4 linked regions of the Struthio camelus genome follow. The protein of the gene in region 2 interacts with the protein of the main gene of each other region in a pairwise test. Links are inferred from orthologs where the notes say so. Each region holds a gene or a part of one and is shown on either strand. Other genes may lie near its edges.

Region 1 (7,492 bases), on a different chromosome or scaffold from region 2:
CCCTTGCTGAGGCAGTGGCCTTGGAGAGGGGTGTGCGTCTGTGTGCGTCTGTGTGTGTGTGTAGTACCCTACCTGAGGAGGGGAGGAGAACTGTCAACTGTCTGTGGTTTCTCTGCCGGTTTTAGTTAGTGGCGTCTTGCCCAAAAATATCACTCGTGCAATTTTCTATGTGAGCTGTTTCCAGCTGAGGAGCATCCCTAAGCAGGTGATGGCTCGAGGCTGTATGTGTTGCCATGTTTCACCCAGGGATCTGGGTGTCAGTCTGCAGCGAGATGGCAAGGCTAAGCAGGAGCTCTTGCCCTGTTCTGGGGGAGAGGTTCTCTTGGCCCTGCTGGTAGGCAGACTTGGTCTACTCCACGTCGAACTGTCGTCGTTTTGATTTCTCTGTAGGTTATCTGACTTATTTATGTGGAACTCTGTCTCTCTGAATTTTTTGCACTATGTGGGATTGGGGAGGGGATACAAGCAATACAAGCCAATGTGTACAATAAAGACGTTTTCCTGAATCCCAGATCCTGCCCTCTGTGTCCTTCCTTTCTCTTCCCTGGCTCTGCTCCAAGAAAGCAGGTAGCTGTTCTTTTTATTGCTCTAGGTGGAGAAGGAGCCTCCAGGCAGAGGGTATGCATGGTGGGCTGCTGTGTGTCTGTGCCTGAGCAGCCACTGAATAGGTCTCATCTCCTTGGGTGCAGCTGCTCTGGGCTTCAGGGCATCTGCACGGAGCAGGGACCCATGTCCCTCTGGGATTGGGCCCTATTGCACTGACCCTGCAGTTGTGGATGTTAGCACAGGAGGCCGGAGGAGACAAAGGCCAACTTTAAAGAAACTACTCTTTTGGGGAGCCTCAAGTGAGCTAAAAAGAGCAGCTCCCACTTCAGCCCTGGTTCCTCTAGGTCCTGGTGCCACACTCAGCAGCTTGGTGCTGGCTGCCTGGCCAAGGAGGTTGCTGTCCTGTGGACAAGGTGTTTTATACTCCCAGAGAGGGTGTTGTGGGCTGGCCTCAGCAATCCCTTGCTGTGCTGCAACCCTGGAGAAGGAAAGAGCAAGACGATGCTGATGGTTAGGAGGCCACTGGGACAAGACCAGTTTGAATCGTAGGGGCTTTAGAGGCAGACTGATACCTCTCCCCGCCTTTAAATTCTAGTTAAACAGTTTTGACTCCCTGGGTTTCCCAATCTCCAGTACTGTTGACAAGCTTTTCCTGCATTGGAAATGAAATCCAGATAAGAAACGTCCTCCTCTACCTCCAGCTGTCACATGCATCTTGCCTGGAGGCAGGAGCAGCAAGCTGGTCCCATGCAGCAGGAGGGAAGGCTCTGCCACAGTCAGATCTACCATCACCAGCTGCTGCCAATCACTGCTGCCTGTGGGGAAAATACTAAGCTCATTTCATGGTAGTGGGGGGTGCAGAGAGCAAAAAAGGACAATGAGAAACTGCATGACGAGGGGTGCAAGCACGCTTTGGGACTGAAAGGGAACTTTCCCTTGCACAGGTGCTAGTACCTTGCAGTAAAGCCCCGATGCTGTATAGTAGTCATGCCAGACCCAGTGGTTACCCTGCCGTGTCCTCTTTCTCGCTGCTCTCCAGGCTCTTGCTTCTATCTCGGGTTTCTATAAATAACTAGCACACTGTAAAAGCCTGACCTCTTCCCCCCCAGTTCAGGCACTCCTGCCCCTGGAAGCAGGGCAAAGAGGGTGTGGGAGAGCAGTTTGCCCTGCAAGCCTGCGTGCCCAGCGTGCCAAAGAGTGGGAGCTGTCCTCGTCTGCAGGTCGTGCCTGGCCCTGCCAGCCTGTTGGTGGTGGTCGTTGCTGTCCCAGTGAACAAGACAATGCATGTTTGCAGGACCAAAAAAAATAGCTGGAGAGAGGTAGTTATATCCCTATTTTGAGCGGTAGGTTTCTACTTGGGACAGATATGTTGGAGAAACAGCACGTTCCTGGTCACGCTGCAAGGCCTCGTTAGCCATGGCTCTTAAGGGGAACGATCCTTTTCCTGAAAAAGCAACAGTTGTTGCTGTTGGCTGTCATTTTTGCTTTCTCCCAGGAGGCACTGGGACATGTCTTCGCTGTTGGAGTGTTGCTTTGCAGTCTTGCACAGACACACTATGGTTTGGGGCATTATCCAACTATAAAAATTATGGTGTTTTGGATAGGGCTTCTCTGGAGTGGTCTGTCCTGAGCTTTGCTCAGCTGCGATGGGTTAATGAATTATATACAAAGGGGACTTGTTTTCAAAAGTCAAGTATGTGGAGGCCTTTGTCAAATTTTATGGCATGTTTGTTATCAGCCGCCCTCTCTGGGTAAGCGTAGCCTAATCCTACGATTAGCTTTTTGGGGTATGTTGATTTTGTTACTGCTATCTTTGTTGTTACACTGCTATTTATTATACTACCGCTTTTTTTGTTACTGCTTTTGCTGTTGCTTCAGCTCCAGGACAGGGTAAATACAAATAGAGTCTGAGGCCAAAAAGGACCATCGTGAAAAGTCCAATATGTCCATAAGACTTCCCACAACAAATCCTTGTTTGGTTCAAACAAATCTCCTAGCAAAACATCCTCTCCTGGTTTTGAAAGTCCCCTGTTGAAGAAGCCGTCGCAGTCCTCAGGGAGTTGTTCCAGTAAGAAATAACCTAAAAATACGTGCCTTGTTTCTGGGCATCTTCAGTTTCTGTCCATCTTCAGTTTCTCAGCATTGGCTCTTGTTATCTCTTTGCCAGCTGTTTGTCTGTTCCCCGTGTAGGCACTTCCAGCCCGACTGCATCTCTGTCGCCTCTCTGCTATGGTAGCAAGATGGAGCTGCTGGGCTGTCAGTCAAAATAATGTGGAGACAAAACACCCGTCAGAAACACCCTTCTCAGAGAGCTGTTTACAGTTGCTTTTGAGTCTCCCTGGCCAGTCACTCTGTAACATATTTGTCTATCTTACCGTTTTTGTATTGTTTTAGGCTCTTACTAGCAGGCTGTGTGGATGTATCAGTGCTTTATAGTCAAGTGTATCAAGTGCTTTATAGTCATTTCTTAATTCAACACCATTATTTTCATTAACCAGATATGATTTTTTTCAAATGAGATAGAAATTAAATTAGTTTGACAAGAATTAATTTCCGTAACCCCCAGTTATTTGTATTAATTATATTCTCCTCCTTAAACTCTTAGTTAATCGGACTCCCTAACAGCTGTCCTTTCATTTTCCTATGGATCAGTGTCATCTGACTGACAAACCCATAATTACTAGGATGGTCTTCTTTACCCTTCGAAATACTGGTATCCTGTTAACTTCTTGCAGTTCTCTGCCAATTCCCTGGTCATGAAAGACTTGCTACAAATGAAGAGCAGTGATTCAAGACCTTTGTTGTTCAGGCCTTGCAAAACTCTTGGATACAAATTGTCTGGACCTTCTCATCTAGAGCCTCCAAGTTTAGTGACTGTTTTTTAACACCTACCTGCAGTACTATGGAATGAAAAGGGTTTCATCATTTGCTATGACTATACTGCCTAGCTTTTTCAATGCATAGAACAGAAATATTTATTGATTGTATCTGCCTTCTGTATTATCCTTGACTACTCACTGTTGTTATTACTATTTCCGCATAATAAGGGACTGATACCAGGGTTGGGAATTTTTGCTTTGCCTTTTAAAATGCTTCTTTGAAAATATCCCTTTAGCTTTGGTGGTCATGCACCTCTTTTGTGCTTTGCTCTCTTTATCAGTTTTCCATAATTCCTAGTTTTATTTTTATATATATATATATTTACTATTTGTTTTCCTCTGTTTGTTTGTTTTATTTTTAGATGTTTTTTTACATTTCACCTCTAATACAAGCTAATTCTTTTTAACTAGAATAAATGTTCTAAGTTGCAGCCTTGTGAACACCTCAGAGAACACTTACACAATAATTATTGGAATTACCTTTTGATTTTTTTTTTTGCCAGCTGACCTGAATGGTAATTGATTTCCTTTTGGAAAATTGCTCCAAATACATTTATTATGGGCTCCAGGTTTATCCTGTTCTCTGATAACAAGCGTTATTATGTAATGGTCACTTGCTGCATCTAAGCAACAATGGATTTTTGATTCTGTGATTAATTCTTCTTTACAAGCCAAAATGCGGTCTACTATACAATTCTGCCACAAGGATGGCATTGTTTTGTTAATCGAGAAATGCAAAACCTCAAAACACTTCTAATAGGAAGAAAGTGAGTGGGCAAAGAAAGGTTCTCGGGGAGATGCAGGCAAATCGGAGCAGGCGTGTGACACCTGTGTGTCACTTCAGTCGCTGCCCTGGCTGCCAGGGGATCCCTCTGTGTGGTCAGCTGGCAGCTTGGTGGAGTCCCTCCTTTTGAAAGCGGCGATAATTCCCTTCCAAAGGCAGCAGGACGGAGTCTGCCTTTTCGCCCTCCTCCCCTGCAGGTGCCTGCCGGCAGACTCCGGCTGGCCTGGCTTGCCCCTCCCCGCGCCGCAGGACTCCTGCCAGCGCCGGTGCTATCAGTCCCAGGCGGGCAGGGAGGGGGAGACGAGAAGGAGCAGGCAAGAAACCTTGGCCGAAAGTCTGTTTGCTCACAGCTCACACCCACAAGAGTCACTGGAGGCGGAAGTGGGAATGTCTGCATGACACACACACACAAACTTCCCTGGCTCCACACGCTCTCGGTCTCAGTTTCTGCCCAGCACTCCAGCTCCCAGCTGCTCGGGGACTGTTCCAGTTGCTACCAGCATGGGGAACATAACTTGTGTTCCTCAGGCACCTGGGAGGTTCAGACACTCTTTCAGCAGGAAACCTTCGCTGAAGAAAGAGTAAGTACCCTTGCTTTTATTGTGGACTGCTTTTCAAGCACGTGCTGGCTTCCCTGCTGACTTTCTCCTTTGCGAGACACCGTACAGAACTGGGCTAGCAGCTGAGCCCCGCTTGGGAAACCCAAGAGTTATTTGCAGGGCTTGGGCATGGTTTTGCTGGTACTAGGCAGTGCTGAACAAGATCAACTCATCGCAAGTGGCAGGGAAGAAATTCTAGGGCTATGCCGGCAGAATATCCCAGCGGCACCGCCCCAAGGGAAAATGTGATTTGTGCCATTTCATTTGGAAAATGAAAACCCCTCTCTATGGGACCGACGGGGCAAGGTGCAAGATGCCTGAAGTTCCTTGTTTTCACTTGTGATTTTTTTAATTCATGTCTCCCGGAGTTGTGGCACTGATTGATCACAAAAGCAAGCTACCAGGGACCGTGAACAGGGAGCAACACTCACATTCCTTTTACTTTAGAGCGAGAGCCCCAAATCCCAATATGATCCTCTGCCTGTACAGTTTGGTCTGTGTTTGTAACTCCCAAGGAAGACATGAAAGAAACCAGCAGTGAAACCTTCTAGGGACTTTGGTGCTGGGCTGGCCAGGAGAGCATTCAGGTACCACAGTGATGGGCAGCTGTCCCAAAATAGAGCCTACCAGGGAGGGCAGAGCAAGCTTCCCTAAGCGCTGCCTTTCCCCCGGCTCACGCTCCCATCAGTGCAGTCACAGTAATCTTGTTGCTATCCTAAGCACGTACTGAGCAGAGCCCTCCCAATTCTGAGAGCTTTGGGCTGAAAAGGAGCCCTGTTAGAAATCAGGATAATCCCCGTGAACTCTGCTAGTCTTGGGAATTTGTAACCAAAAAGAGACACCGAAACTGTCCCCCTGCTTCTGTGCTGCGGTAATTCAGGAGCAAACCTGCAGGAGTCTGTGCAGTTGCGAGGCGGTAGGAGAGAGGGAATTTGAACCCCGAAGGGCCAATGTCAGGTAGCCCGCAGTGTAACGGCCAAGCCCCGGAGCACCCCTCGTCCCTGCTGCCTCTGTGCCTCCCGCGCTGACGGCTCTCCGTGGAGATGAGCCTGGTTTCTGCGGGACTAAGTGCTGCAATCTGGTTGAAAGAGAGAAAATCCGCTGGGGAGCGCCAGCCAGGCAGTCCCAGTTTTCTTAATGGCATTTGTAACTGCTCATTGATGGGTTGCACACCAGGAGAAGCTGGGGGCTCTGCTGGGAGCGGAAGGAAAGAGACAGGAAAATCACAAAGAGAAATAAACCCTGTTTCTGTGTGGGTGTGGATGTACAAATCCATCTCTGCTCCAGTGGCTTTGGAATAGCCATCAGGATTTTACTTGGCTTTTTTTGTATTTTGCAATGGGACGTCCATTTCCTTCACTGAGCTGGAGACCCAGACGAGCCTAGCTTATCACTTGGTCATGCAAAGACACGTAAAAAAGCAAAGCTAAAACAAGTGCAGCACAAAACCCATTACAATTGTCCCAGGCTTTTATCAGCCCTTTGCTGTCCTGGATGATTAGAAAGCCCATGACCAACTGCTTACTCCAGCTTTCTTGTTTCTGGGCAGAATTTACTATGCACCAGGCTAGATCTGTGTTTGCATGCGTTTCTTTGTTTTTTTTCTCCCCTTTGTAGAAAAGATGGCAAGAAAAAAGTACCCAGCTTGTTTGGTATTGAAGGAGGGCGGGAGAGAGATACGACCGCAGACAAAATACTGCAGTATATTCCAGGAAAGGCAAGTACAAACGCATCCAGCCCCCTCCCCACCATTCCCAGAGATTATTGTCACCCACCCCAGGGACAGCTTTGTACGCGAGAGGGACAAGGGCTCTGGGTCAGGGGATAGCAGCAGGCCTGTCTCAAGGAGATGGAGGTCATATCTGCAGCCAAGGAAGGATGGCTTGTTATGCCGTATCCTTCACGGCAGGAGTCATCTGCTCCAGGGTACCCGTGCAGGAGTCAAGGGGAACTGTCAGCAACAAAAATGTGTGCCGCTGGGGGTGCAGCACTAGGGGCAAGGCAGGCAGCGTGGTGGGACTATCTCACAACCCCCTTGCTGCTATTGGTGCTTTTGTTTCTGGGTAGTGTGCAAAGGAAGGGAAAATTAGCGCGAGCACGCAAAGGTGGGATGATTCATTCCCACGCCGGAGTGAGACGGAGCAGGCAGCATATTAGCAATGAGCCTTAGGAAGGTAATCAGGAAGGGCAGGTCTGTCCTAGGCACGTACCAGCCTGGTAGCCGTATGGCCCGTTTCCCAGCACTGCTCAGGGGAAGCGGAGGTGAAACAATGAGCCCTGATGTTTTGCTTTGGTGCCTTTGGGTGGGCCGGGGACATGCACTGAGCTTGGGGCCTGTTGCACTGTACTATCTACATACCTCCCCCACTGCACAGCAAATAGTCTATGTGGGCATGGGGGTGGGGGAAACTGAGGCAGAGAGAGACACAGCTAGACAGAGGTAATTTCGGAGGTCAGTTGTAGGACGTTATCTCTTGGGCTTCAGCTGCTGGCCAGGTGTATTTCAATGACCATGAGATGCCTGTCAAGGGCTTGGTGTATTGGAGGGCCCAGTTCTGGGCAGTCCTGCTCAGGTACCTTGGGTTGCTGCAAAGATTCAGCTGTCTCGGAGCTGATCTGTCCCCCTCAAACAGGACCTCTGCAGTCCCTTTTGGTTCAGCTGCCTCTGGGTAGGCCTTTTGTTT
Region 2 (6,671 bases):
CGAAGAAGCATTTTGCTTGTACTAAAAGAACAGATTATTTCGATTGCAGGCACTTTAACAGGTCCTTCTAAGCCCAAGAGCAAAGGAAAGAAAGGGCTGAGCTTTACCACGGGTAGGTGTCCCCATTCCTGAAAGGCAGGAGGGCAAGACAGGGTCTGCAGCGTCCTTCCTGCGAGGCCTTTGCGGACAGCAGTTCAGACCTCCCTCTCTCCCCGTTTGAGACCCACACTGGACTGTGACGTCTTGCGGCTCAGCAGGGAGCTGTTTCTGAAACTGGAGAATATTGTGAGGTGGGGATTGTAAGGTCTCCCCCAGAACCTGATAATCTCTGAAAAGAAGGAAGAACGGCTCCATAGTCTGGTGTAAGCTGTGTAAGTAGGATGGGGGACGTGACTTAGGTCTCAATTAATATTTGATTGTGTAGTGAAATAGCTTCACCTGGAGAAACTGAAAAGTCTAAAGCTGTGGACAAAGCGCTCAGCTGGGAAGTTGGTTCAAACCCTTCTCCTGGAGCAGGGGTTATTTGTATCTTGGCAGGGAGGTGAAAATACTCAGCATTATTTCTGCCTTTGTAGTTTTGTGAATGACATCTAAGTTCTTTCGGGAGTCCAGCTCAGAAATCTGCGTAGCCGGTATAAAAAATTCTGCAGTGAACTGTTGCAGCATTTCCAATTTGAATGCATGTCTTCACATACATGAACATGTGTCTGATGCAGGTCACTAAATCTGGCCCAAATACATTAGTATTTGAAGTCACAGTTTTTAGCAAATGAATGATTTGCCTAAAGAACTTTATCCAGCTTTACGGAAAATACTGCGTAGAAAAATTAAGAAAAGGCAACGGTACACTGCTAACTGAGTTCTTGGTAGTTCTGGATTACACGGGCTTTGTCTTCTGATTAGTACTTCACGGTGCTTGTCTCCACTAACTCACTATCCAGTCAGCTCTTAGACCTTAAAACATTCATCTAAGGTCTGTTTTAGTGGCCCACAGTCTCAGTCCTTCAAAAATACAGATGACCCATTTCAAATTGCCATCTTTCCTAAAAACTGCTGCGTCTAGGTAGCACCCTTGAGCTCCCATCTGATGGCAGACTAGGCGCAAACATCCTATGATAAAATATTTTCCTTTGTCCTTTAAGGATACTTTTCTGCTTTCCGTTGCAGGATACCTGAACTTGAAAAGAAGAGAGTGTTCCCTGGGGAGTTACCATAGTAACCTGTGATGTTCCTGTGTTGTCTGAGATTAAAAAAAAGCAAGGGAGAAATTACAGAGAAGAATTTTATACCTGAGTTTATCATCTTTGCATAACACCAAAGCTGAACTGCGTCTGCAACTTCCTAGAACAATAACACTCACCTTGGGGCTGATATCAGGTGGGTAATGTTCATTGGAAAAGAAATTAAGAGCGCTATTTATTATTCAAGAATCTTGATTAGAAAAAAAATTTATTCTACATCTTAAAGATGTAGTGAATAACAAAGAAAATGAGATCATTAGAAACGCAAAGATGTAGAAGTGAGAATAGCTGCTACAAATAACGTCTAAACTTACAATGCATGGATGCCCTGCATATTCTGTTTTCTTCTTAATAGGGTTCAGTGATACTCTCCTTTTAAACATATAGTCAAAGAAAAACTCCAGACTCAAATTCTCTTTGCAAAGTGACTTCAGGTCTCACAGTGCACGCATGGAGGTTATTTTTGAGCATCAGTACCAATTCAGCAGCAAACATAATTTGAATATTCTGAATAAAAACAAAAAATGTTTTAAAAGAATGTGATAGAAGAACAATCTATTTAAACTGCTCTCAGTTATGAGCATCAAAGATAGAGGGAAGTCTGGGTTCAGGAAAGGGCTTGAGAGCTGAGATACAGAAAGGTCATTTCCGTGAAAGATAACCCAACTGTGCATTGCTGGGGAAAATCAAGGACAAAAGAGCAAAAAGTGAGTTGTGGGAAGGCGGTATCTGCGTGCATCCGACTCTCCGTCAGGGGATGCTTGCCGCCCTTACCCCCACCCCGGTGCGTGGTGACTGCTGGTCGTGTCACAGTCCGGCGCCTTTGTTCCTTGTTACATACCATGCATGTGAGCTGGCACTGGCGGGACCAGGCAGGGAACCAGCTAGGAGGAGGAGAAGCTGGGGCAATCTTGAGCCTCTTGCCTCAAATCAAAAAAGCAGCTAGAAACAGGGCTGTTTGGCAAGAGCGCAGGGAAAGGGAACACGACCGACTTTTGTAAGCAGGTGAGTATGTGTCAATGCTTCATTTACTACGGCTGAATTACCTAGCTCAGCCTGATTTTGTGCAGCTTCCCTCAAAAAAATTGTCCTTCCTGCCCATCTCAGTTCCCCAGCCTTTTTACGGGATTATTTAGTTCAGAAATACTTGAAAATGATAACAGAGCCTGAGAGAACTTGAAATGCCTCTGTGAAGCGTGGGTCAATATCTTTACTGCAGTGCAAAAGAGCTGACAGAGATGCTGTCAAGTTTAATTGTCCCCAAGATAATGTCCTTCAATACCGAATATATTAAATGTTTCTGTTTGTCCTGAAAACATGCCATATAAACACTTTAAATATAAGTGATTTTAACAGCTCTAGCCACCTACCCAAGCCACTCACTGGCAGGTGTGTCTTGGCTCACAATACCTATATTTTCTGTTTCTTATTTGGATATTTAGGGGCGTCTGGGGTCATTCTCTCCTTGGCTGACTTTCCTTTCAGCCCTGGGGTTGATGGTGCAAACATCTGATGAAAACCTAGGCCTGCAAAATCGCAGGAGCCATGTCAGGGAGTGTTTTGGGAGACATGTTCGCCACCCTTCTTCCCGCAGAGGGGTGCAGAGCTCCCAGAGCATGAAAGCGGACATCGGGCAAGTTGGAATGGCTGTGGAGGAGTGTAAGAGGGAAAAATACACAGTTGAAAGCACAACACAAGTGGAAAAAATGAACTTTGAAATTGCAAGGTTGTTGCATACTGTGGGAAATCCTTTTTAGCAGAGCAATATAATGAAAACGCTAGTTTGATGTGAGATAAAACATACAGTGATGCAGAAGACAACCTTGAGAGCTAGACTGAGACCCTACCACAACAAACTCTACCACATATTATTGCAACAAACCTATATTGCAACTCCCTCCAAAACTCACTCTCGCTTTAAGGGTTTGGGGATTTAAAGTACCACCAACAATTTTCTGAATTTTTGGATAAACTTGGGAAGGAGGAGGAGAAGGAAGTAGTTATGTGATGCTGGCTTTCAGGAGCCAAATGGAGCTAGGAGAAACAATACAACAGGAAGCAGCATGGTAGACAGTGCAGAGGGGTGGGAAAGAGCAGTGGAGAAGACTTTGTGGACAGGAAAGACCATGGCAGGACAGAGGTGCTGGGAGACAATGTCATGAAAGAGCTGGAAGAGATGAGGAGTTGGTGAGTTACATTTCCCAGTGTCAACAGCACGCCTAACACTTTATGGAAAGGTATGGAGATGAAGTTTGTGAAGGTAAAATTCTCCTCACCAGCTGAACAGGTAGAATTGGATTTCATAAGGGACAGTAAGGCAGCTGGAGGAATTCAAGGAGGAAGAGGGTAGATCTAGGTGAAATTTGACAGCCAACCTCTTTTTTCTAATTAGAAGAAGGCACATTGCAGAGATTTAGCTTTAAAAAAAAATACATACACACAAGACATTCAAACAAGTTTATTATAAAAAACAGTTTAACCTCATCTCATCTTGAAAATTTCATGTATTTTATTTTTACGGGAACACATTTTATTTTGATGAGAACTGCAGAAAATAAGACTTTCTTTGGCATAAAACTTATCTGGCATTTTGTGTTCATGAAAACACACTGAATTCCTTCATTTCTCCAAGTTTAGTTATGACTAGAAGGTGATTTGGCCAGGAGCATTTTGGGCAGAACAAACAGAGAAAGGATATTGAACAGATGAGTCTGAGTTTTCTGCAATTGAAATGAGAAGAATTGGAGGTACAACTTAGCAGGATGGATTTTGAAGTGATAAGTTTTCTGGTGATGTGAGAAAGAGGCAGAACAACTGTAAAAAAAGCGATGACACATTGCTATTGCAAACCTAGAATGTGAGAGACGTAATGGAGCTATCAAAGAATACAAAGATAAGAGAAACTGTGGAGAAATGAGAAGGAAAGATGGAGAATTATGTATGGAGTGCGACAGTGTTTGGAACGTGCTGATAGGAACTTGTCAGAAGAATACGTGAAGAGCAATAGAGCTCTTCCAGTCCCGATGGCGCAGTGCTGTGGTTTAGATTTTTAATTATCTGTGCACACTATATCATTCTGTGTTCTTCCTATTGATGGTGCTGTCAATTTTAAGATTAAAAAACACGGCTGCCATCATATTTTTGTGGCCTCTTGTTAGCAAAGGTTACTGAGCATCCACTGGAAAAAGCTGCTCTTAGGGCCAGTTTCAAAAGTAATGACATTTTTTCATCCTTTAAAAATGTCTTACTAGGCATCTTTGAAAACTTGTCTCCAGCCCCATAATTTATTTTAATTAATTAATTTATTCTCTATCCTCGGAGATATTCAAAAGCTGTCTGGACACAGTCCTGGGCAGCTTGCTCTGGGTGACCCTGCTTGAGCAGGGGGGTTAGACTGGATGATATCCAGAGGTCCCTTCCACCCTCAGCCATCCTGTGATTCTGGTATTCGTTTACCTGTTGGTCAGCAAGGAAAGGACAATTCTGAGGTGTTCTTACATCTTAACTCTTTACATGTCTGTAAAAATGAGGTAGAGGGATAAAAGGAGAGTCAAGGTTTTTGCATAAAAGCTCGTGGTGTTGCCATAGCACTGGTAAATCTACTAGTGCCAGTATTCTCAGATTTTATGAACTATGTTTCTGGTGTATTCCCTACCTTCCAGTGTCAAGGAGGCAACACAGTTGATTGTGGGAACTTACTTCTTTGCTAGTTTCTGTTATCTAATGTAATTTAATTTGGACCTTGAATTTTGGTAATAATTCCGTGCATTTATGTTCCCTTTTCTATCAGTCCTGATAAAGCTTCTCCAAAACCCCTGTGTCATTTACCAACGGAGAGTGGCCTCTCGTGGAAGTCCTGGAGAAAGTGTTTTCACACAGACTTACTCAGTTTACTAAAGAAAACCCATGTCTGCTTGTGATCTGATGAACCACAACATGCAATGCACAAGGACTGACATAGATTGTACCACCCCACGAGTGAAACTGAGTGATGAGACATTTATCTTTATTGATGGCAAATGGGTGAACGAAATTTACCATCAGCCACCCTTTGCTTCCCACGAGAAGCACTTCAGCAAGAAGACACAGAGTGAATGGAGCATCTGGGAGGAGAATAGAGCACTCCTGGAGGAAAACAAAGTTCTCCGTATTGAAAACAGCATGCTGCAGGAAGAAAACAAGGCTCTTCGGTGCCTCCAGGCGCAGAATAAGACTGTCAAGGTCATTTATGATGACACTATTCATCAGGGCCTCCAGAAGGAAAAGAGGTCATTCCCAATCTTCCCAGACAGCAACATAGGCTTTCAGATCAGCCAAGATAACAAAGCTCTTCAGATTGTCCGGGGAAAGAACAGAGCTTTAGAGATCTTCCGGCAGCAGAATAAAGCTTTCCCCATCATTTGGAAAAACAAAAAAGCCATTGCAGTCCATGAAGAGAGCAAAGACACAAGCTCAGTTCTTCAGAAAGACACTCAAACTATCACAGATCCAGAAGAAGGTAACCCTGATCTAGCCCCCCAGCAGGAACACGAAGTGGGGAGCTCCAATCCAACCCAGAATGAGAAGAGTGCCCCAGCCATGCAGGGTGAGTATCCAATTGGCCAGGCCATCCAGAACTTATACCAAGCCCTCCAGGTCTTCCTGAAAGAGGACTATATTCCCTCTGGAGAGAAAAACTCCCTGAAAGAGGACTATGCTCCCTCTGGAGAGAAAAAGGACATTCAGATTCTCCAGGAGGAGAACAAAGTCTTCCAAGAAGAGAACAATAAATTGAGACTGCAGTTGAATGCCGTGAAAAACACTGTGTCAGATATTACAGCTCAAATGGAAATGCTGCAAAAAGAGCTCAGTGCCATCACTTCCCCAGTGTTCGAAGAAGCAGGACAAATACTGGCAAGTGAATATCAGCTTGGAGACATGTGAAACTTGCAGCTAAACCTGCTGGTTCAATTTCCTGTAAAGCACCTCTCCTTGTTTCAAGGAACTCAATAAAATCCCAGTGGAATCTGAAGAAAAAAACCAGCTGGTGAACATTGTGTTATTCTGAAACTTTCTTGTATCACTTGGATGCGTTTCCCCTTCTGATAACATGGGAGTGGGCAACTGTCATGAATTTGCCTAGTCCCAGAAAAACATGCTTTTCGGCATATTTTAAAAGTTTCTAATAATAAGGCTACATTTTCAACAGATAGCTCATGCTTTTCTCACTTAATCTGAGGTACCTTGGAACGGCCATATTTACCAGAGGGATAGGCACTTTCTGAAAACCAGGATTCCAACTGGGAGCTGAGTTTGGAGCCCTGTTGGTCCCTTTCTTTTGATGCCAAGCTCAGTGGCTGAACTATGTCTTCTGCGATGCACCAGCCTTACCTTTCTCACGTAGGCTAAGCAATGAATCATGGGAAATGTGGCCTCACGGAGGAGACAGGC
Region 3 (7,505 bases), on a different chromosome or scaffold from region 2:
TGCTTTCTGTTATTTTGGATGTGTGGGGGTGGGGGGTGTGGTTTTAAAATGGAGCTTCAGAAAGTCTGATTTCAAGACATGGGAGATGGGGCAAAGTACCTCTCTTGTACCTTTTTCCCACAGTGATATAATAGGAGAAGTACCTTTCCTTCCCCCTTTCTGAAAAGGGCAAGGAGGGAAATGCAGCACCCATACAGCATATTCACTGTGTGAAAATTGAAAGAAGGTGGAAAACTTGGCTCTCTTCCTGATACTGGTGACCTCACTTCTGCTTTCCTTATCATAAGGTGATCCTGAACTGTTCAGCACTGCCTTGTCTCCTTCACTTATTAAGCAGTCCCAAGGAGTCGATTAGGAAAGAAGCCTGCTGGACTATTTCTAACATCACAGCAGGAAACAGAGCACAAATACAGGTACAGCTTTGAGGCTTTTAGGTTTCATTTGTAGTGATCTTGGAGTCCAAGTTCAGTGTTCAGAGTCTGCAAATCTTTTTCTTATCTGACCCTTAGAGGCTTTAAGCTTGTTTAAACTCTTTAAAACTCTTTAAATTTTGTGGGCAGGCTGCTCCCAGCTGTAGGCCAAATAAATTAGCTAAAAATCTGCTAATTGTACTACAAAGGGATGAGACTGAAATGACTGAATGTCCCCCTTTTGGATCATTGGAATAAGAACAGGACATAAAGCCCCCATTTCTCCATGCTCAATTAGAGATACCCCTTTGAAAAGCTGTAGCTTGTTAAGATGTAATTGTCCTTTTAATGGCCTACATAACAAGGCAGATAAAATGAGACTTTCTACAGGACTGATGCAATAATGAGGGACTATTTACTGTGCTAGTTATGGAATTGAATATAGGATTTGGTAGAGGAATAAAATGGAGGAATTGCTGAAAAAGGTTTAGGCCGGAAAGCTTACTGGAAAGTAGAGAGAGATTTCTTTCAGCTGCTTTTGGAAACCATGTTGCCAATTCAAACACTTCATACTGTTCTCTCTCCCCAGGCAGTCATAGATGCAAACATTTTCCCAGTGCTGATAGAAATCTTGCAGAAAGCAGAATTCCGTACAAGGAAAGAGGCAGCATGGGCTATTACAAACGCAACGTCAGGAGGAACTCCAGAACAGATCAGGTACTCCTTATGGCCCCACTTAGGGGAAATCGGTCTGAATGTATGGCAGCTTTATGTCTTTGGGATCTGCAAGACAAAGCAGTAAGGGAGAACCTCTGGGAGAATACCTGAGACATGGGCAAGGCTGTAGCTAGACAGTGTGCTCTGCTGTGCATTGCAGTTTCCTTCTGAAATGGGATAAGCAAGTGTCAGACTAATCCAAACTGCTTCCCTCTCACGTCTTTAAAATAGCTTAAACTAGGCTAAATGTCCAAACCTCATTTAAATTCCCGTGTGGGCTTAAACTCAGTGTCACCTGAGTTCACTTCAAAGGGAGCTGGCCCTTTTTTTAAAGGCAGGGTTGTATATGCATAGAAATAAGTGGAGATAAATATTAAGCTTGCAAAACAGTAAAATATACTAATAATGTTAAATAACGTTATAGTTATTTAACATTATATATAGCTTATATATATATATATAAAAAGTTATTTTAGTTTGACTCATTCCTTTGAGCTTTTTTTAAGTGAATGAAGGCGATGTTTGCTATCCTGCAAGCTGAGTGTATGTTCTGGGTGCTCTCTCTGTAGATACCTGGTAAACTTGGGTTGTATCAAGCCTCTTTGTGACCTGCTGACTGTCATGGACTCAAAGATTGTTCAGGTGGCGCTGAACGGCCTGGAGAACATACTGAGGCTCGGAGAGCAGGAGGCCAACCAGAGTGGGACAGGCATCAATCCTTACTGCAGCCTGATTGAGGAAGCCTATGGTAGGTTGTGGCTGGTGGCCTTGCTGCTATTGCCTTTGAAAACCGTAGGGTATGTTGACAGGTGTCTGCTGATGTCATGGATTTCACTTCTGCTTAGCACTTAAGTGTGTACCAGATAAGGGATTTTAGTATGTTCCAAATGAGATGTTATCACGTGGCCTGATTCTCCCAATAAGAGCAGTTCTTGAAATTCATAAGAACGTATGTTGCTTGGATGCTTCCTGTTCAGCAGTGGATTTAAGTCAGATGGCTAAAGCAGTCACTGCCCTCCTGCTGGAGGGAGGCCCCTGGGGTCAGGGCCTGCTTCTTCCCCCTTCCAGCCCCAGGACTGTCAAACTATTCATGGCCAGTTGTATTAGTCCCACTGATTTCAGTTTTGCCTTCAGCAAGGGAGCTGTGAGCAGCTAAGCCTACTGTTGTAAAGATGTCAGTGCTGTCTGATAGGGATTAAATTTCCAAGCAACTCTGGAGTAATGGGAAGAGTTAGCTTTAGATGTCAGAGTGCTGCAGACAAAATGCACATCTAACACAGGCAGGGGTCTTGCCCTGAACAGGGGTGAGGGTGGAGGATGGATGTGGGACAGTGTAAACACTGGGGTTCTCCATGTTTTGTCACACGCTGCTTTTCTCTTCTCTAAGGCTTGGATAAGATAGAGTTCCTGCAGAGCCATGAGAACCAAGAGATCTACCAGAAGGCCTTTGACCTGATTGAGCACTACTTTGGAGTAGAGGATGATTCTGCTCTAGCTCCCCAGGTAGATGAGAACCAGCAGCAATTCATATTCCAGCAACCTGAAGCCCCAATGGAAGGTTTCCAGCTATAATGTGCCCAGAGGGGAAAAGAATACTACAAACTTGCCAGGAAGCAACTGGGAGCAGCTGATGGTCCCACCCCCCTCCTTGCAAATGGAAGGCTAAACACCCACTCCACCTGTTAGGAAGCAACTCCTCCTTCAGAAACAACTAGAAGCAGTGCTTTGTCCTCATGGAGAGAAGGGGAAGTTCTTACACTTTTTCTTTTTGCTGCTGCATATGTGTCTTTAAAGCAGGCATCTGGGTGGAGGAAGGACACTGAGATAACAGATTGCACCTCTTGTGGGTTTTTTTTTTTCTTCCTCTTTGTGGTGATCTCCCAAATGTCACTTTTTACCTTGGGTACTTAAAATTGAGATTTCAGCATTGGGTTGGGTAAGAACACATAGAAAGTGAGCATTCTGATGACAATAATTCTGGAAACCTGGGTTGATCTATTTAATTTTTTTGCACATGTTACTCTTATTAAAGACTCTAATTTGCCAAGAGCAAAGTTTAGCCCTGGCCTTTCTGCGACCCTCCTTCAGTGGACAGTCCTGTTGGACCTGGGCCAAGTTCCCCTGAAATATACTGTAAATGGACAGAGAAGCAGGGAAGTCTCCCAATCCTGGGAAAGCTTTCTGGGGGAAGGATTCTTCTTTTTTTTTTTTTTTTTTCCTGGAGAACTGCTAGTGGTATTTACAAGGAAAAAAGCAACAAAACCCCAAAGATGGTAACTATGAAGAGGGTGGGATGCTTGGGTGGTTTTTGAAAGAGGAAGCACAGCTGCCATTGCACAGGCTTTGTTTGCATTGCTACTGACTGAAGTCACAAACTGTTGAAATGATGAAACCCATCTTCATTCTTACTTGAAGTTTTTTTTTTTCCTCCTCTCATGAAACCATGTTTTGAATTTTGGGGTTTTTTGGCTGGGTTGGGGTGGATCATAATATGGGCTGGGGAGGAAGAGGGCATAGCTACACTTGACAGCAGTGTTGTGTGCGGTGTTAACTTCAGTAGCAACAGGCCTGAGTTTTCAGGTTTACCTCCTGCTCACAGTTGGATCATGTACATTTTACTTCAAAAGGAAGAATCAAATCCCTGTATTTTTTATATTATATATAGGTAGATATTTGTCTAATTGGGCTTCAGAGAAAAATATATATGAAATTTCTGTAATTTATGTAAATAGAATACTGTGAGGCAGGCATACCTGGAAATGACGGTCTGTGAGCTCACTCACTGGTTGTCCTGCTTCTTTTCCTCTGTTTACTCATGTACTGTATAAGCAAACATAGATCTGTCTTAAACTCCTCTACCTGCCTTGAGTTTACTTAGCCAAGATCTCATTAAAAAACAAACTAAAAGGGGGCGGGCCAGGCTGCGGAGAGCGAAACCGCTGCGGGGGCGGCCCGGGGGCCGAGCCCCGCGCTGGTGAACGAGTAAGCGACAGCGGCGCCTCGGACGGCGGTGGGGCTCGGCGGCCCCCCCCCCCCCCCCCCCAAATCCCGGGCGGGCCCTCAGCGCCGGTAACGGCCGCCCCGCGCGCGGCACGCCGGGAGCGGTAGTTCGCGCCCCCCCCCTCCGGCCCCGCGCGCGGCACGCCGGGAGCGGTAGCTCGCGCCCCCCCCCGGCCCCGCGCGCGGCACGCCGGGAGTGGTAGTTCGCGCCCCCCCCTCCGGCCCCGCGCGCGGCACGCCGGGAGCGGTAGTGCCACCGGCGGACCCGCCGCCACTGCCGCCTCTCACCGGTATTTCCCGGCGGGCCTCGCGGCGCCGCAGCCGCTGATTGGCCGGCGGCGCGGGGGGCGCATGCGCGATGCGCGCACGCTGGGAGGCCCGGGCCGGAGCCGTGGCCTGAGCGCGGAGGCCGGAGGGAGGCGGGCAGAGAGCCGCCGCCGGCTGCGGGACCGGCGGGGCGGCGCCGGGGAGGAGGCCGCTCCGTCTTCGCTTCCCTCTGATGTGCCGGGGTGCCGCCGGCTCCTGCTCCCTGATTGGCTGAGGAGGGAGGGGGGTGACGCGTCAGACCCCTGGCGGTGACGTCACGGGGTACGTGGATGACGTCATTGCGGTGGTTGGGGGTGTGTGTGTCCGCCTGGAACGTCATGTCGGGGTGGGGAGGGGGGGCAAGGCCCTGGGGGTGCCATGGGGCGGGCTGTTAACGGGGGAGTAGGGCCGGGCCGGGGGTGTTAACGGGGGTGGTGACCGGGGTGGGGGGAAGAGGCTGGGGGGCAGGAGTGGGGCACGGCTGTGGGGAGCAGGTGGGGGGTATAGCGAGGGAGCAGGAGTGGGGCACAGCTTGGGGGAGCAGGCGGGGGGTACAGCGGGGGGCATGTGTGGGGCATGGCTGAGGGGGGCAGGCACGGGGGTGGCTGGGGGGCAGGTGAGGGGTACAGCGGGGGGCATGTGTGGGGGTGGCTGTGGGGGAGCAGGCAGGGAGTATTGGCTGGGGGACAGGAGTGGGGCACGGCTGTAGGAAGCAGGCAGGGGTACAGCGGGGGGCAGGAGTGGGGCACGGCTGTGGGGAACAGGCGGGGGTACAGCAAGGGGGCATGTATGGGGCACGGCTGAGGGGGGCAGGCACGGGGGGTGGCTGGGGGGCAGGGATGGGGGTGACCGGGGGGCAGGCAAGGGGTACAGCGGGGGGGCAGGTGTGCGGCACACCTCGGGGGTCGGTACGGAGCGGGCAGGAGGGGCAGCGTTAGCTGTGGGGCAGCGCAGGGGTGCCGGCGGCGAGGGCAGGGGGTGCCGGGGCGGCGCGGCCGGGCGGGGCGGGGTGCGAGGAGCTGCCCCTCGCCCGGGGTGCTGCGGAGCCGGCCGTCGTCCGCCGGCGCCTGGGGCAGCGCGCGGGGGCTGCGCTGTTTCCAGCAGCAGCGGAGGAAAAGGAGCGCCCGGGGGCTCGGCGAGAGCGGGGCGCTGGGTGCCGCGGGCCTGCCGTGGGAGGGGGCGCAGCCTCGCCGGCCTGGGGGCGCGTGATGCGCGTGCTTGGCTGCTGCGCCTGCTCCTCGTTTTCGCCCGTGTTTTGCTTCGGCAGCCGTGTCCTGGGCTGCTCTCTCGGAGAAAGCTCGGGTCTCCCTGGGCGATGACTGCAAAACTGCAGCAAAGGCTTTTTCCCACCTCTTGCAGAACGCTCCCTTGGCTCTAGACTAGGAGCACTGGCTGCCTCTGCTTTGTAATTAGTATCGTGATTGGAGCAGAGAACGCGGGGGAAAGAGTCAGGGAGAACATACCCTGCTGGGGGAGAGAGGAGGGAGACGAGCGGGGAGCTGAGCTCGGGCTGTTCGTTGTGGCTCACGGTGATGCTAGTTAATCTTTTCAGCGCTGAGCTCCAGCTCTGCCTGGGAGCTGCACACTTTCCTCCAGCCAGGTATGCGTTTTTGTTTTAGTTGGTGCTGACTTTTCTCCTGCGGAGGCTTTGGTCTCTGGGTCTTCCGCGTAGACAGGGGATTTATTGCCAGTGTGCACAGATCACTCTCAGCTGTGAAACATGTTTCTTAGCAGGGAGGAGAAATGTTCCAAGAGGAAAATATGGTGGGGCAAGGGGAAGTAACAGTGCTGAGAAAGATGTGCCCTACATGCTGCACGTGATTCGGGATTTGCTGCCTTGCCCTAGAAGGGGCTGCTTCTAGCATTTCTCAACTGGAAGAAGAATTATTCTGATATAGAGGCCTTTGCGTTCAGGCGCAAATCGCAAAATGCTGCTTTCCTCTGCGCTGAGCCGCAGGTGGGATAGTGGCAGCTGGCAGTGGGGAAGCAGCCTCCCCAGGGACGAGTTGCTTCTCCGTTCTGAGTTCATCGGTTCTCGTTGACTCCCCAGCAAGGTGATGAATCCTGCTATAACCCCCTAATCTGTTACTTCTTAAAATTAAACGTAGTTGCTGTTTCTCTTTTGCTAGGGTTTGTTGAGACTGAGTGGGGAGAAAAGTCGTGATGAAGAACCAAGGTGGGGAGACCAAAGCTGCCCTGCGGCCTGCTAGTTCTTCCAAAATGAGCAGCAGCCTCGTGCTGGAGGAAGGCGACTTACCTGAGGCCGCAGCACCCCTTGAAGGTGGGGAGACCCCCGGTCCCGGGACACGCAGCTCCCTGTCGGTGGCTGGGGGCAGTGCTGACAGCCCGAGCAGCGGCACGCAGGGAAGCGGGAGGGTGGGTTTCAAGCCTGAAAAGAGTTGATCTCTTGCTTTCTCCATAGGAGGGTGGGCTGTTGTATCCAACTCTTTTTACTTGTATAAGAGCAGTTGTGATGTCAGGAGCAGAAAATCCTTGTTTCTTATCGCTTCTGCATATGTGCAGTTCTGAAGTAGTTACTGCTGCCTTGGGGAACAGGTTACCAAAGTGTGGAGTTGCATCTGCCTTTGATCCTGACCTGAACATGATGGGTTATTTGCTGTTGCTTAGACCTGAAGGATCCCATACAGGAGAAAAGTCAGACAATCTTTCCCTGGGGCAGTGTTATGTTGAGTGACCTGCCCTGTTATCGGCGCTTTTCAAGTCATAAAAATAATTCTCTAGAAGGAATAAAAAACATGTCTAGTAAAGTAGGTGCTTAGTTAAAATTCACCCGGCCTTATGTATATTCTGATGCCTAGTAAACGTGGGATGTAGTGAATGCCCAGTGCATAGCGTTAGTTTAATAACCAACTGCTGTCTGTTATCAAGGAGTCTCATTTGGGGGAATTTTGGAAGCTAAGACGCGTACTAAGGGATGGGCTGCCTACTCCTTCCCTAAGCATCTGCTGTTGGATGCTCTTAGGGACAAGATACCTTTGATCTGACCCAGTACAGCTGTTCTATATGTGACGAGAGAGGCTAACTTGGGTTTTAAATCTATTGTAGCCTTAA
Region 4 (7,206 bases), on a different chromosome or scaffold from region 2:
GAACGCAGCTGCCCTTTCTGGCTGTCTCACTTTCAGGCCGACACAAAATCAGAAGAAGCCAAGCATAAAAGGCTGCACCTGGCACAGAGCAAACAATAGAGGGTTCTGCACTCAACTGTGATATGCATCTTTTGACATAGCTTCCCTGGACACAGAGCAGGGCAGATCAGATTTTCAAGCCTGAACGTCAAGTGAAAGCAACACAGGGCAGAAGTGGATGGAGGTTAGGAAAGAGACTCCCCCTCACCGGCCACTGGAAAAGGGAAAGCTCAGGCAGGAAATCAGAAGGAAACGAGCCACATGCAGAAAGAAATCAATGTGTAAAGGCAGACAAAACAGAAAGGATCCTTGATTCCTTGGAGGACAGAAAGCAGAACCTAGAAGAGGCTCAGAGACAAAGAGAAAATAGAGGTAAAAAAAAAAAAAAAAAGTTCCTGTAAGTTAAAGCATATATTTTATTTTCTTTGCAAAAAAAACCATCTGTATCTTATACTAGACAAAACAAAAGGTAGGTCAATTTTTTTTTTTTTTAAATCAGTCTCTGCATCCAGTTGTTTTACCAGAAGTGAATTGTAAACACACCATTCACAGCTCAGAGTCCAGGGACAGGACACACCTCTGCTGCTGGGAACACAGGGTGACAACAGGTCAGGAAGGGAAAGGAGCTGGGCTCGGGGTACTACTGCTGTGACCAGAGCCACAACCAGATCCTGAGCTCAGGGAATGCCAGAGAGTGCAAGACAGTTGCCAGTGCAGGCTCAGATGAAAAGAAAGACAGGGGCACAACAATCACATCGTGGGATGTGCTGATCCAAACTGCCCATCCTGGAGACCAGCCAGCAAGGACAGCTGTATGCCACTGTGACTGTCACAGCCTCATGCAAACAAGTATAACCTCCCTGCAAATCACCCTAACAGCCTGAACCATGCTAATTATAATCTTAATCCTAGATCCCATCTCTGTGCACCTGTATAACTGTGTAAAACACTACTTCAGGCACTGAAGTGCATGAATTATATTTAGTGGGTATTAACCCGCCTGTTCGGTGTGCCAGTGTCAGTGAGCAGGGCACCTTGGAAACAAGAGCCACCCCCGTGCTGTGCACACAAGGCGGGGAGGCTTCCCAGATGTGTTACCTGGCTGTGGACTCCCCCTCAGTCAGAGGGCAGGCAATGGCTCCGCACGCAGTCAGCAGGGCTGCCGCCAAGCAAACAGAATAGGCAGCACTTGAACCTAACCCAGCTCCTGCGGGCAGCTCAGACCACACGACTATGTCCACACTTGGAACATCTCTGAAACACAAACACACAGGCTATATACAATGACCTTGAATTCCATCTTGAAACAACATTTCAAAGGCAAGAGATGCCAATTAGGACTGATCACAGGACAGGCTAGTTGAAAATTGGCAACCTCAGCACATCCATAAGCATCCGACAGACGTGGGCCTCACGAGCGTTCAGTTAGCACAGCTGAGTAGCCTTGCTAAGCCATTGTGCTAGAACAAAGCCTTGCTGAATTGGATCTGTGATTAGCACAGCTTGTCAAGCTGCTAGCAGGGGCACTTAGTAACCAAAAACTTGAGTAGCACCATAAAGAGACCCTTCAAAGATTGCTGTAAACGTTGTAAACGTGACAATAACTGCATAGTTGCATCTTACTAGAGTGATGAGCTGATGGGAAAATGAAATACACACACGTGTTTGTGTCCAGGTGCTCCTGGTCTCTGCTTGAACGCACGCAGGTTGCATTGCGGTCCCTAACATCAAACCTAGGAGCTTTCCACTGGCTGGTGAGGGATATGAACAGTAAGTTTCAGAGCAAGTGGATCACAGCACCAGTGCTATCACCAAGAAGCTCAGAGACGGCAAAGGAAAACACAGTAAAGCTACAAATAATTCTTTAACCTTTGATTCCTCTGCTATGAATATTGAATTCAGGCTCTGACCTCGTTTGCAATAGCAGGCAGTGCTGTATCACACCTGACTCTTAGTGAGTTTTCAATAACTTACAGTACTATCATCAGCTGCATTTGTCAAGTTTAGAAACTGGGAGAGCCCTTACCTGTGGTTACCTCAAGTTCCCATATTTTGAGAGAGATTCAGCCCACCAGAGAGAGCAGTCATAGCTCAGACATTTAATTCAAGTATGTTTCCACGGTAATTTTTCTAACCTAATTCAGGATGAGATGAACTGCCTGCCAGGGATGGGGCGGATGTCTGTCTCTGTCGTCTGTACAGGAAGGGTGGGACTTAAGCATCTCAAAGGTAGATGTCTAAAATAGAACAAATGATCCCTCCCCCACCTGCTTGGGGCACTTGGCATTCTCCCCACCACCACCACCAAGTGCAGCTTAGCCCTAAAGAGTTGCCCCTGGAGTGCTCAGAACCTAAGTGTGACTCTCTTTAATTTCTCATTTCACCTCAGATGTTTGGTTTCTTTCTGTGACCTCGTAAAAGCAATTAATGATGCACAATACACAAGACAGCATGTTTATTTTGCTACAGGAAAATAACCTTACCCATACTTAGCTGAAATAGCCAGGCACATATAGAGAAAGGCAAGAGTAGCAAGGCTCTCGGGAGCTGAGGATTCAGCAGTGATTCCAGCAAACTCTCTCAATGTATTCAGCTGTTCTACGCTGGGGGATTTAGATTCATCAAAGTCAGCTGTGGAAGCAAGCAGGGCAGAATTTAAACACTTAGAAACCAGTGAGTTTTTAAACTTGAAAGCAGTATTTACAAGAACAATATCTCCCGTTATAGTAGGCACAACAGACTGTGAGCCAGTCAGCGTGTTTCATGTATAAAGCTGCCACCCAAGGACTCGTGATAAAATAGAAGCAAAGTCTCCACCAGTCCTTCTGAAAAACCTAGTGTTTCTGCATCCCCACACTGGCACGGTGTTCTAGCAGTTCTCCCCTTGCTTGCACCCCTCAGTATGCCCACCCACCGCTACACAGAGCCTGGCAAGTCACAAGTCCTTTAATAAAGAGTGAGGAATATTCTGATGTGCTTCACGCAGAAGCCAGGAATCCAAACGGATAAGAGCAGACATCAGCATAAGACGAATTTTGGTCTGTGCTGAGGGATTACCAACGCGCTGACGCTCTGTTCTGCCTCGCGCTAAGCAAACAGCGGCTGTGAAGATCGCAGGCGTTAACGCCAGGTCCTCCAGAGCGGGACGGCACACGCGGCAGCCAGGCGCTCCCTTCCAGCACGGGGTGCTGCAGAAACGCCAGCAAGGGCTGGCGGGGGGGGGGAGCAGAGGCAGAAAAACGGGCCCCACGTCCCCATCCTCCCCACGAGCCCTCCGCTCCGAGCGGCTTCAGCGAGACCCCCTTTGGGCCCAGAGCACACGGGCAGCGACGCAGCCGGGTCCCGGCAGCCGGGGCAGCAGCAACGGCAGAAGCGGCCGCCGGGGACGCCGTCGGGGCGGCCGAGGCCGGCGCAGCCCCCCCCCCCCCCCCCCCCGCCGCTTGCCTGAGAAGCCGCTCCGCAGGGCCTGCAGCCGGCTCCTCTCCCAACTGGCCGCCGCGCCGAGGCTGGGCAGGCGGAGCGAGACGCTGCCGCCGGCGGGCCGCAGCCGCAGGAAGGTCCGCAGGTCCAGGGCCACGGCCAGGGCCACCTGCGGGCGAGGAGCCACCGTCAGCCGCGGCCGCGCCGGGACCGCGGCCGGGGGGGGGGGGGTGCGGCCGCGGGGCCTCCTCACCTTGCCGTAGACCACGGCGTGCTCCCCGTGCAGGATGGCCTTCCCCGGGGCGGACAGCACCAGGCTGCGCTCCAGCATCTCCACCTGCGAGCGGGGAGCCGCGCCTGAGCGCGCTGCGGGACCGCCGCCACCACCGGGACCGGGACCCTCGGGACCGCCACCCCCCTCCGCCTCCCGCCGCCGCGGAGAGCAGCCGGGGGAGCACCGGGCACGGCCCGCGGGCACCAGGGCGGCGCCCGGGGGGGGGGGACGGGGCGGGGCGGGCCCGACCCAGGCCCAGCGGTCCCGGTTCCCCGGTGCCGGTCCCCACTCACCGCTGACCGCCTCAGCCGCCGAACCGCACCACCCCCGCCGATTGACCAGCTCGTTGACCAATAGGAGACATGCCTGCTCTCGTCCTCCTTGCTCTGGAGCCAATGACCGGGAGACTCCCGGGGGCGGGGTTTAGGGAGGGCCAATCGGAAAGCGGCAGCGTGGAGTGGTGCGGCGCTGGGGTGACAGTGCGGGAGAGAGGCGGGACGGCGGCCGAGGAGGGTCGGGGAGGCGGTTAGCGGCCCGGTGGGGCAGGGTCAGAGGCCGGGGCTACGGGAGCCGAGAGGGATGCTGAGGCGGGCGGCGGTGGCGGCCTGGAGCCTGCGCAGGCCGCGGAGCCTGGCGGCGACGGTGACGGCGACAGCGGGGCGCCGCTATGGCGGCGAGGCGGCTAGGTGAGCGCTAGAGGAGGAGCCGGGGCCGGGGCCGGGGCCGGGGCCGGCTCCCCGCGCTCACGGCCCGCCTCTGCCTCCGCAGCCCGGACCGCGGCCCTCGCAGCGCCCGCGCCCCGAAGATCTACACGAGAACGGGAGACGCAGGTGAGGCCGGAGCCGTTGCCGGGAGGGCGGTACCGGCGGGGAGGCCCAGGGCAGCCCCGGGGCTCGTCTCCGTTGGTGCCCGCGCTCCGACCTTCTTCCCCCTTGGCTGTTTTCAAAGGCTTTTCCAGCACTTTCACCGGAGAGAGGAGGCCGAAGGACGACCAGATCTTCGAAGCCCTGGGCACGACGGACGAGCTGAGCTCGGCTATCGGGTAACCCTCGTGCCCCAGCCCTGTCCGCCGGCGCTGCCTGGGAGAGGGGCTGCCGCAGGCCCGGCAGGACTCGTGCGAACCGGACGCTCTCCACCGAGATCCCCGCCGAGCCGGGGTGCTCCCACCCCCCGTGAGCCAGACCTCGTCGGCAGCGCACAGCCCTGGGGCTCCGCGCGTGCTCGAGGGATGCAGCCGCACGGGCCTGACCCCCTTGCGCTGGGGGTCTTTTGGTTGTCTTGTTTCTATTAAGAACTGCTCCCACATCCCGTCCTCCTGCAGGGGGGAAGGGGATACACTGAGGACTATGACTACGTTTCTCTGGAGGGCTGCACTGACAAGTAACTAGGAGCATCCAATTTCTATGTTTTTCATACAGAAAAATGTGTACGCACAATCGTAGTAATCTTTTTATCTCTGGCTAACTTGACTTTTTTTAATCTAGGCTTGCTAGTGAATTTAGCAGTGAAAAGGGCTACACTTTTGTTGAACAGCTTCACAAAGTGAGTATTAACAATCTTTACCTGGTGTAGTAACTTCGTTTGTGCTATTGAAATATATTCTTAAACTCTTTACTTCCAGACACAATGCTCTCATTGACACAGGATTCTGATAAATTTAGTATTAAAGTATTAAAATGAGGTATCTAATATATACTTGAGAGTCTGATCCTTAATTACTCTCTAAGTAATAAACTGCATCTCCTTAAGCTGAGCCAGTAGACCAAGTAGATTAGTTATGGGTAGACAATCATATCTCCAAGAGATTTATTCAGACCTGTTACTGTACAAGCTCCTGGGCAGAAGTTAAGCCTTGTTGTCATGTTAGCTTCAAACTTGAAGGCAGGGTGAAGCAACTACGTGGGCACGATGATGGGAGGCAGCTCCCACCATGGCAGCCTGTGGCTTTTGCTCATTAGCTTTGTTGTGCAAAAGAACTCAGAAGCAGCTAATCAGAGGCTCTGGAAAGCTTTACCAAACTGCCTCTCAAATATCCTAGGCCATGGAGAGATGCTCCTCTCGGAAACAGATGTGACATCAAGTCAGCACTATCTCCAGCTGTTTGTCGCAGCCTTTCTTTCAGAGGTTCCTGGTTGTGGTGTTTTACCAGCAAAGGGATCATATGAGTACTCCCCCCAGTCTGCTTTCTGCAAAGACAGCCAGGGTAGTTTAATGTGCCAGTGAAAATGAGTACATGTGCTAATCTGGCTTCTCATAAAGCAATTAGGGAGCACTTATCTGATCCCCCCTGCCAGCAGACTGGGGGATGATGAACAACAAGGGTAGGATCTTCTTTAATCAGCACAACCAGCTGTCGCCTCCCAGAGCTTGCTGCAGTTCCAGAGCATCAAAGGCTGGATAATGAAAGCACTTCTTGCTTTTCCTGATTGCCACATCTAGGTCCAGTGTATGCTGCAGGATGTGGGCTCCAACATCGCGACACCTCTCTCCTCAGCCAGGGAGGCTCACTTAAGTAAGCCCCAAAGTATCTTTCCTAGAATAACAGTTCTGGAATTAATGTTGCCTTCTGGACTGGCATTAGGGAGGCTCTCACTGTGTGTGGTAGTCAGAGATGCACGAGGGCTGCCTCACGAGCAAGGAAATAACACGCGGTCCCAGAAGCTGCTGCTGCTGTGTTTTTGTGACTCAAGCGACGGGGCCAGCCTGGGGCATTGCACCAAAACCCACGCCCCAGCCACAGCTGCTGAATGGGGAGCCAGCCCCACTGTAGCAGGAGGGATGTGGGGGACACTTTCTTATGACCTACTGATCCAAGTAATATCAAAGTAGAGCTTCATCTTCTATAGGTTGAATCACTTCTCTATTTCTTTTAGTTGATTTTTCTTTCCCCCCTGTAGAACGAACATCTTTTAGCGAGAAGCCAGTTCTGGAGCTGGAACAGTGGATTGACAAATACTCGGAACAGCTTCCCCCACTCAGAGCTTTCATACTGCCAGTAGGTACTTCTTATGCCACTTGCTTCTTTAGGGTAAATCTTCTCTACCACCTGCCACCGGGGGAAAAAAGTTTGTAAGGCTGTTACTAGTGTGGACCAAATGCCAAAAGGAAAGCAGAGAGAAGGACCAGATAAAGCTAAATTTCCATGTACTATTCCATTTAGATACCTCTTCAGAACTGCCTAGCCAGAACCTAAGGTTCAGCTGTATGTGTGTATGAGATGTGATAAGCTTTGCTGCCTCTCTACAATGAGGTGGGTGGCTATCTAATGTTAGCAGGCGTTAATGCTCTGTTTAATTGTTGTTTCAGTCGGGAGGTAAAAGCAGTGCTGCTCTCCATTTTTCCCGGGCTGTCTGCCGCAGAGCTGAAAGGTGGTGAGTGTTGGGCTTGTTAATGTAACTTGAACAAAATGGATGAAAGATGATCAGATTGCTACAGTTGCAAACCATTTAAAGTTGCAGTCAGAGCAGCTGACC

Evidence for each region.
Region 1: the proteins of CBY2 (region 2) and PLEKHN1 interact in binary tests that used the Homo sapiens proteins (3 or more experiments, as listed by UniProt). The two-hybrid records come from large-scale screens. The link is inferred for Struthio camelus from reciprocal best matches to the Homo sapiens genes CBY2 and PLEKHN1.
Region 3: the proteins of CBY2 (region 2) and TXLNA interact in binary tests that used the Homo sapiens proteins (3 or more experiments, as listed by UniProt). The two-hybrid records come from large-scale screens. The link is inferred for Struthio camelus from reciprocal best matches to the Homo sapiens genes CBY2 and TXLNA.
Region 4: the proteins of CBY2 (region 2) and MMAB interact in binary tests that used the Homo sapiens proteins (3 or more experiments, as listed by UniProt). The two-hybrid records come from large-scale screens. The link is inferred for Struthio camelus from reciprocal best matches to the Homo sapiens genes CBY2 and MMAB.

The regions. Positions count from the first base shown.
Region 1 is NC_090962.1:4,767,516-4,775,007, reverse strand, and holds the start of PLEKHN1 (pleckstrin homology domain-containing family N member 1), read left to right. Parts: upstream 1-4,489; 5' UTR 4,490-4,710; coding exon 4,711-4,790; intron 4,791-6,425; coding exon 6,426-6,525; intron 6,526-7,492. UniProt on the Homo sapiens protein: Controls the stability of the leptin mRNA harboring an AU-rich element (ARE) in its 3' UTR, in cooperation with the RNA stabilizer ELAVL1.
Region 2 is NC_090942.1:191,153,013-191,159,683, forward strand, and holds CBY2 (protein chibby homolog 2), read left to right. Parts: upstream 1-4,896; 5' UTR 4,897-5,147; coding exon 5,148-6,164; downstream 6,165-6,671.
Region 3 is NC_090964.1:8,542,663-8,550,167, forward strand, and holds the start of TXLNA (alpha-taxilin), read left to right. Parts: upstream 1-4,484; 5' UTR 4,485-4,715; intron 4,716-5,985; exon of another isoform or gene 5,986-6,033; intron 6,034-6,562; 5' UTR 6,563-6,596; coding exon 6,597-6,714; intron 6,715-7,505. Other genes in the region: KPNA6 (importin subunit alpha-7), read left to right, coding at 288-413, 1,000-1,127, 1,697-1,875, 2,515-2,699. UniProt on the Homo sapiens protein: May be involved in intracellular vesicle traffic and potentially in calcium-dependent exocytosis in neuroendocrine cells.
Region 4 is NC_090958.1:19,210,206-19,217,411, reverse strand, and holds the start of MMAB (corrinoid adenosyltransferase MMAB), read left to right. Parts: upstream 1-4,192; 5' UTR 4,193-4,312; coding exon 4,313-4,419; intron 4,420-4,501; coding exon 4,502-4,563; intron 4,564-4,681; coding exon 4,682-4,775; intron 4,776-5,217; coding exon 5,218-5,275; intron 5,276-6,172; coding exon 6,173-6,245; intron 6,246-6,630; coding exon 6,631-6,728; intron 6,729-7,039; coding exon 7,040-7,104; intron 7,105-7,206. Other genes in the region: MVK (mevalonate kinase), read right to left, coding at 1,138-1,293, 2,523-2,670, 3,484-3,628, 3,713-3,790. UniProt on the Homo sapiens protein: Converts cob(I)alamin to adenosylcobalamin (adenosylcob(III)alamin), a coenzyme for methylmalonyl-CoA mutase, therefore participates in the final step of the vitamin B12 conversion.